2 linked regions of the Oreochromis niloticus genome follow. The protein of the gene in region 2 purifies or fractionates together with the protein of the main gene of each other region. This does not show direct contact. Links are inferred from orthologs where the notes say so. Each region holds a gene or a part of one and is shown on either strand. Other genes may lie near its edges.

The links.
Region 1: the proteins of flii (region 2) and lrrfip2 purify together in Homo sapiens (affinity purification with mass spectrometry; 3 studies listed by BioGRID and IntAct, with this or other methods). This does not show direct contact. The link is inferred for Oreochromis niloticus from reciprocal best matches to the Homo sapiens genes FLII and LRRFIP2.

The regions. Positions count from the first base shown.
Region 1 is NC_031978.2:25,203,055-25,206,808, reverse strand, and holds the start of lrrfip2 (leucine-rich repeat flightless-interacting protein 2), read right to left. Parts: upstream 2,424-3,754; 5' UTR 2,216-2,423; intron 1,034-2,215; 5' UTR 996-1,033; coding exon 888-995; intron 1-887. UniProt on the Homo sapiens protein: May function as activator of the canonical Wnt signaling pathway, in association with DVL3, upstream of CTNNB1/beta-catenin.
Region 2 is NC_031969.2:11,744,743-11,748,496, reverse strand, and holds the start of flii (protein flightless-1 homolog), read right to left. Parts: upstream 2,675-3,754; 5' UTR 2,581-2,674; coding exon 2,518-2,580; intron 1,470-2,517; coding exon 1,359-1,469; intron 876-1,358; coding exon 804-875; intron 648-803; coding exon 567-647; intron 437-566; coding exon 189-436; intron 35-188; coding exon 1-34. UniProt on the Homo sapiens protein: Is a regulator of actin polymerization, required for proper myofibril organization and regulation of the length of sarcomeric thin filaments. It also plays a role in the assembly of cardiomyocyte cell adhesion complexes.

The DNA of each region.
Region 1 (3,754 bases), on a different chromosome or scaffold from region 2:
GCAAAACACAAACATCCATATCTAAATATAGACATTAAGGTTTTTGATAATGAAACGCACACTTCAAATTAACATCACTCGCCCTGCAGTCTTCGTACACCTCTCTAATTCAACGTGCTGTTAAACTGAACTGATAGCTAACCTAGTCTGAAACCTGACAGATCGCATACAAGTTCTGCTGAGTAGCCTTTGGTCTCAACTTTCAACCAGTTTTTCAAAAGACAACATTGGAACATTAGTAAGATCAACCAGGTTACTCTAAACCTGGGCTCTAAAATTGTTAGCTCAATTTCAAATGGTGTAAAAGCTATTGGTAAATACTTTCCACAATCTCTCAGGCAAAAAGATAATTAACATTTTTAATTCTTTTTGTTTGAATTCACATAAAAGTAAAAAAAAATGCTTCTGTCTTCTTGAAATGTTACACATTGCTGAAAAATCATTAAGATGACCTGAGTTTTTTCATTGGTTTAAGTAATTGCAACGATACAATAAGGGTTACAAAAAGTAAGTAGACACATGCATTTACATTATAAGGCTTAGGCAAAAGATTTAATCGACATGTTCAGTTTAAAAGGGCTCTCACAAACCATAATGCTGCTTAGGCAAGCATATGAGTACTGATAATGCTCTTAAGAAACTACTTGGTAGTTTTAAAAAGTGATGGTTCTGCTGCCCAGGTTAGCCACCCTTAAATTGACAAATCAGTCCTCTGTCTATACTTGAAGCCCCCATTATCTCAACAAGGATAAACAAGAACATTTGAGCTGACTAAAAATCAGATTTGCATTGATTCAGGATTGCATAAAGGGAACATTTTATGGAGAAAGCATCCCAGGTTCATTGCAGTAAGCTTCAAAATTAATGTAAGTGATGAATGACCTTACCTCACGAGCAATGCTATTCAGCGCATCATCCTCTGCTGAGAACCGATCTTTTAGAGGAGCACGCTTTCTACCAGTGCCTTGTGTCCCCATGTTAGTACTGGAACTCATACTGTGTAAGCCCAGGAAATGGAAACGTGTGTTAATTCCTGGAGGAACAAAAGCAGATAAAAATAATTTCAACAAGTCAGTAAACAAAGTCAAATGATAGAATAATTAGACATATGTCTTTTGGCTGTGTTTCACTGTGTATGCTTTCTGCACTCCCAACTCAGACACTTCATATCTCTTATTTTCACTCCTGCAAAAACAGACCCTTGTATGGAATCCACAAGGGCTTTGGATAAACACTTGTGACTGACATGAACCAGCTTTAAAGTGACATGCATATAGAAGGAGCTCTGGTAACTTAAATCAGCCGGAGATATCAATCCAAAACACAGCATGATAAAGTGTACAGAATTAATAACACAATTAGTTAAAAAAAAAAAAAAAATCTACAAACAATACCTGTCCACTGATTACGCTTGCATTTTAAGTTGATGTAATGGGTATTCCACATGCGTTGATAGACACAAGAGTAATATCAGAGTTAACATTATCACTAGACAAAAGCCCACTGTGGATGGCTGGTACAGACGCGGGGGGGAAAACGCCTAGTTTAGGATCCGGCTGAGTCAGAGGATCCAAGTGAGACATGAGCACTCCATGCAGACGTTTGATGAGCTAAACCGCGTAGGTCCAAGAGTCAAACGGACTAGTCACAGACGCCGCAGGCAACTTAAGGAATTCTGATCCTTGACAAAGAATAGGGTGATTAGCCAGCCATCATTAATCAGCTGGGTTAAGTTACCACCCACTAACAAAGCTGGAATTATCCCCTACACCATGTCATATAAGCAAAATAATTAAAATAACGGCTGCGTTAAAACAAAAGTAATGCAATGAAGTGAGGCAATGTGTTGCTCCCTAGCATTAGCTACCAGCGTTAACTACTGTTAGCTAGCTCTTTTGCTGAGCTAACTGGGAGTGCTAACTAGCATTTCGTCGTTCCCGAATTCATATTTGAAAAGTTCCCTTATTAGGTTCTCATTGAGCTTTCAGTCCAGCTAACGCTCTAGAAAACGAGAACTATTTAGACGTGTCCGTCCCACGGCAATGACCCCCACCCCCCAGGTCCCGAAGACCTACCTAAAGCTAGTTCACTTGTTTAGCTGGGTAGTTAGCTTGGATAGCTAGTGGGGCTAACCTGGACTCTCCAGAGACAGACAGGGCATACTGGCACTGATCCTCCAGTCATATTTCCCAGCCCCCCAAAAACAATACCTCACCTTCGCGACACCTTTAAATAACCCGCGATACTGTCGAGGTGTTATCCCTTGTCTCCTGGAGTTTCAGGGGTGAGCCATTCGGGTTCTCTTCAGAGATTGTTAGTGTTTTTGTCCGCAGTGACAGCTGTCATCAGTCCGCCTTTCCACCGCTCCTCACTGCCCTCCTTACCCAGTTTCCACACACACTGGTTGGTTCCAAAGGACCCGGATGTTGGAAAAAAAATTAGGGTGTGATGCTGCGTTCACGTCCCGCAAGAGCAATCAGAATCGTAACTTTTTTTTTTCAAACTGATGCAGACCTTCTAGTTTTTATATTACCATATAATAATTTTAGGCGATAAAAACATTTCTTTCTTTAAACGAGAAAAAAATCAACCATCTTATATTGTTGTTACTATATAAATATCCCTTTGTATTGGACAGTTTCTTGCTTTGATGAGCAGGCTTTGTTAAGCTTGCTCACAAATGATTATATGATATCTGTAAAGCTTTTATCTTTTAGCCCATATTTAAGTACAGTTTAAATTTAATGCAGTTGAAAATGTAGTGTGGAATATATTGTATGTAGATTTTTGCCAAAATATTATCTTATTCAAAAAATTCCATCCAGTACTTATTATTATTATTATTATTACTCATTATTATTATTTCGTTTTTATGCAATGTTATATTTTCAGCATTTACTTTTTTTCCTTGTCAGAGGTCGGCCTTATCGATGGGGCTCGGGGGTCCAGACCCACCCAATAAAGTCGGTGTACCCCTTCATCGGATTTCTACTGATATCCTTCAACTGTAAGTTCCATTAATTCATAGAAGTTGCTAATAAAAACAAACAAACATATCGGTTAATAATATTTTAGTGCTTCTGCAGCAATCATGTAACCAGCATGACTGAGGAGGTCATGCTGGTAACCTTCATGTACCTTTGAAACTAAACAGAGGTCATTCATCAGCTGGTGCAGCTATATTGTATGAATGTAATTAATAGAACAAACCGAATACTCCCATGAACTTGGTTGCCCATTTAATAGCATATGGTGTGCCACCAAAGCTGCAGAGGTTACCTAGGAAGGTCAAAGGGCACTGTAGTCTGCTGTCACGGCTACATAGTTTGTCCACATGAGGGCAGTAATGGATAACGATTTGTTCTGCATTTTGTAAAAATGCAGTGCTGTATGGAGTTACTCCATACTTTCCTAAATGTATGATGTGGATGCAAACATTTATGCCGTTTAACTTAAATGCTGAAGTCACCTGTTTAAAAAAATATAGATGGCAGTCTGACAGAGCCAAAAAAAAAAACCCAAAACAAAACTTATACAAGGGCAGTGACCTAATATTTATATATGCATGAGAACAGTGCAGAAAACTAGTGTCTTATTAGCAACAACTCCAAGAATATATGCAAACAAAGTACTGTTTATCTCTCTTTGTGTTTTTAGAGAACTTGAACACCTGTAAGGGATTTTCACGCGGAGAACCTGTGTGGGAATTTCCTGACTGACACCCATAACACAGGTTACATGAACCACACACACA
Region 2 (3,754 bases):
CAGAGTCTGTAATGCCACCATTGCTGGGAGCTGGCTGCTCGGACAATAAAAGAAGAAGCACTAAAATCAGTAAGGATGTTTAAAAAATAAAATCATCCTTTCTGGATGTTTGTTTAAAGGTATAAGGTGGTTGGTAAATTGAACAGAGGCTGGCAAAAAATGATGCAATATTGAATCTTTTTTTTTACCGCAACTGGGCATGCATCAGCGGGTTGTTGTTTAGAATCAGAGTCTGCAGGTGCACCAGGCGTCTCATCTGGGGTGGCAGGCTGTCCAGCTTGTTGTCACTCAGGTCCAGATACAGCAGGTCTGTCAGGTTGATGAACAACTGGTTGGGGATGGAGTCGATGCTGTTGTGGCTCAGATTGAGCACCAGCATGTTCTTGCTGTTCTCCAGGTCCCTGGGGATCTCTGTCAGCTGATTGTAGCTCAGGTCCTGGTGGAGGACAAAGTGAATAAAAAAAGCAAAAGTAGTAGACTGGAAGCAAATGACTCATGCTCAAAATGTTAGTGTTAAATTTAAGGGTGTGTTGAAAGTGTGAGACAGTTAAGAGACATTTGTGTACCAGCACAGAGAGGTCATCGAGCTGAAAGATGTCATCCGGGACTCCAGAATTTTTCAGATTGTTGGCCCTGGCTACCACCGCCTGCAGACAAAATTTAGAATACTAGATTACACACTGGTGTAGAAAGAAAGAGGCAATCATGTGGCAGGAGCTCTGTTTTTTAATGTATGGGTGGAACATCATTTCCATTTTTATTTTTAAAAAGGCATGTAGTTTTTCTGGGTTTTTTTTAGTTACCCGTAGATTCGGTAAGCTGGACAGTTCCCCATGTAAAGTGGTCAGGCTGTTGTGACTCACTGAAAGGTGCTCCTAAAAAGGGAAAATACACACAGGCACATGTCACTGCTATACTTTGGTCTTCACAAGTCATGAGGATACAGGGTATGTGTTTCACAAGTAAATCATGTGCTGATTACACCCTTGTAGTTATCTGCTCGTATCAGATTAAACACTTCTATGTTTTCAAACAGTTTAAACTTGTTCATATGACCACAAATACAAAGTGAATCCAGCAAGGACAAAATGAATATTTTAACTTTGATCCATGTCTCATCTCCTATACAAATAATTTTCTTGCACAAAAATCTATCTCACTTGATAAAATAAACAGTTCCTTGATCCTTTTATCTTTGGAAAACTGCACAGTACAGATGTAGAACAAAAAGACTGTGGCCATTACAAAGAGGTCTACTCACAAAAAATTCTTACTTAAATTGCATTGTAGATGCACATACACACACATACAAATCACTTCATGTATGAAGATGCTCCTAGTTAGTCAGGATGTCTCACCAGCTTCTGCAGAGAGGCCAGCTCCTCTGGTAGGTAACACAGTCCCGTCCTGTTCAGTTTCAGCCATCGCAGGCTGCTCATACACTTAACGTGCTCTGGGAAGTATCCACCCTAAGTGAGACCACACAAAAATACATGACTTTTGACAACAGTAATACAAGAACTTACTTTGTTATAGTGCAGAGGGGGATGAATTTGTCCGCTTTTACCAAAACACTGAAACATAAAACTCTAGATGTGCTACCAGAGAAAGATTACATTTTTAAACAACTTCCCCCCAAAGATACTCTAACAATTTCATTGTCAATTATAGGAATGAACTGCACTTTAATGTTTTGATTGCATAAATAGTGACAGCACTACATTTGCACACAAATGGGCGGATAGCATTAATCTTGATTTTTTTTAACAGATGAAAAGTGCACACATCCAGGAAGAGAAATGCTAGGGCTGCATATGCTAAAGCAGTTAGAATATAAGGAAATGATCTCATCATGTACTGGCAGATTTCAATCAAAAGCCACCGATTGACTAACAGATAACTCAGTTGTTTAAGCAGCATATTTCCAATACTTTGACGGAGATACGTAAATAGTTGTGTCAGGACAAATACATGCCAGGTGATCGCAGCTGTCAATCGGGCTGCTTTTTCCACTCTCCGAAAATAAGCTCATAAAAGGGTGTCACAACCTAAAAGCAACAGCAAGCTCTATTAGTTAGCTGACGCTGTTTATCCACTTCACTTTCTGACAAGTTACAACACGGAGCTCGAGCTTCTGTGACAGACATTTAGTTAGCCATAAGTGTGGCTAGATTACTCAGCTAACATGACTGTGAATATAAGACCTAGCTCATCAACAACTTCACAAAAATAATATTAACGCTAGCTGACGAGCTAAAAATATATACAGTTCGCAAACCCACACGTCAAATAAGAACTGTGTTAACCACCAAACTGGGCGGTGGTGGCTGAGCAGACTGTGTCACTCTGACAACTGGCTAACGCCCAATGCTAGTAACGTTAAGCTAAGCTAGTTTATAGCTAGCCCTGCCGTTTGTTGCTCTGAGAATGACTGAAGTCGCTCCAGCTACTCTAACGTCGTATTTACTAAACATCGGACAGTGTGAAAATCAGTGAATGCTGTTTAAAAATACTTACTTTAAAGTCGTTTCCACTGAGGTCTACCCCCCGTATAAAGGGAAGAACTCCGGTGGCAGCCATTTCTAACTATTTGATGTCTGCTGCTCTATTTTGGTCAAAAGAGGGTTGTGGCTGAAAAGACTACCGTTTCTTTTTCTTATTCTTTTTCCGTGTCGCAAACCAACGCGATGAGTGGCATATCGCCACCTAACGTACACCCACGGAGTAACAGCTGTCCCAAGCCTGGATGAGTGGAGTACCCGGAAGGGCATCCAGGGAAAAATCTTCGCCAAATCTAATACGCGAATCATCAGATGATTAAATCCCCAAAATTGTGAAATTGCTGCAAAAACAGTCAAACATGTCAAACACAACCTCAATAAATACATAAGAAGGTCAAAAATTAAAAAGTAAAAATCTAAAAACAGTAATATGCAAAAAAGAAGTTGCATATTATAAAGTACATCTATCTATCTATCTATCTATCTAGATAGATAGATAGATAGACAGAGATGCTGGAAGGGTTCTTTGCATAAGCTGTGAGACTGACAAATGGACTGTGCCCCCTCCCCACCCACACAGCCATTCACACAGCTACACTGTAAGATCAACAAGCGGGACTGTGTTGCCCCCATCTACACACACACACACACACACACACACACACACACATACAATACACTCCTCAGATACAAACACTACCTAATGTAACTATCCGCTCCCGTGAAAGGACTGCTGCTATATACCCGAGCGAATGTGACTTGAGTTTGTTTTAGAACTTAGATTTTATGTTATTTATTTATCCATAACTATTGTTGCAATTCATTACTGCCTCTTTTACTGCTCTTTTTAAACTTATTCTTTTAAAACTGTATTTATTATTTTTAAACTGTATTTATTCTTTTTTAAACTGTATTGCTTTTTGCACTGTAGAAGCTGGTGAGAAACAGTATTTCGTTTCAGGCTGGGTAACACCATACGAAATGACAATAAACTTCTTGAGTCTTGAGTCTATATGAATAAAAAATACTTAGTGTATTCAATCAAAACCAAGCATGGCAAATATCAGACAACATAAAAATGGCTCAGTGTAACCCACAAAAGTAATTTTTTTCTTTACAGTCTGTAGTGCCGAGTGAAAATAAAACATTTGCTCTCATCTAATTTCTTTTTTCGACCCTTCATCCCAGTTCCTGCTGTTTGTTGCCCTTGTTTAATATCTGTGTCCCACTTCTTCTGCCAGGAATCCCACACT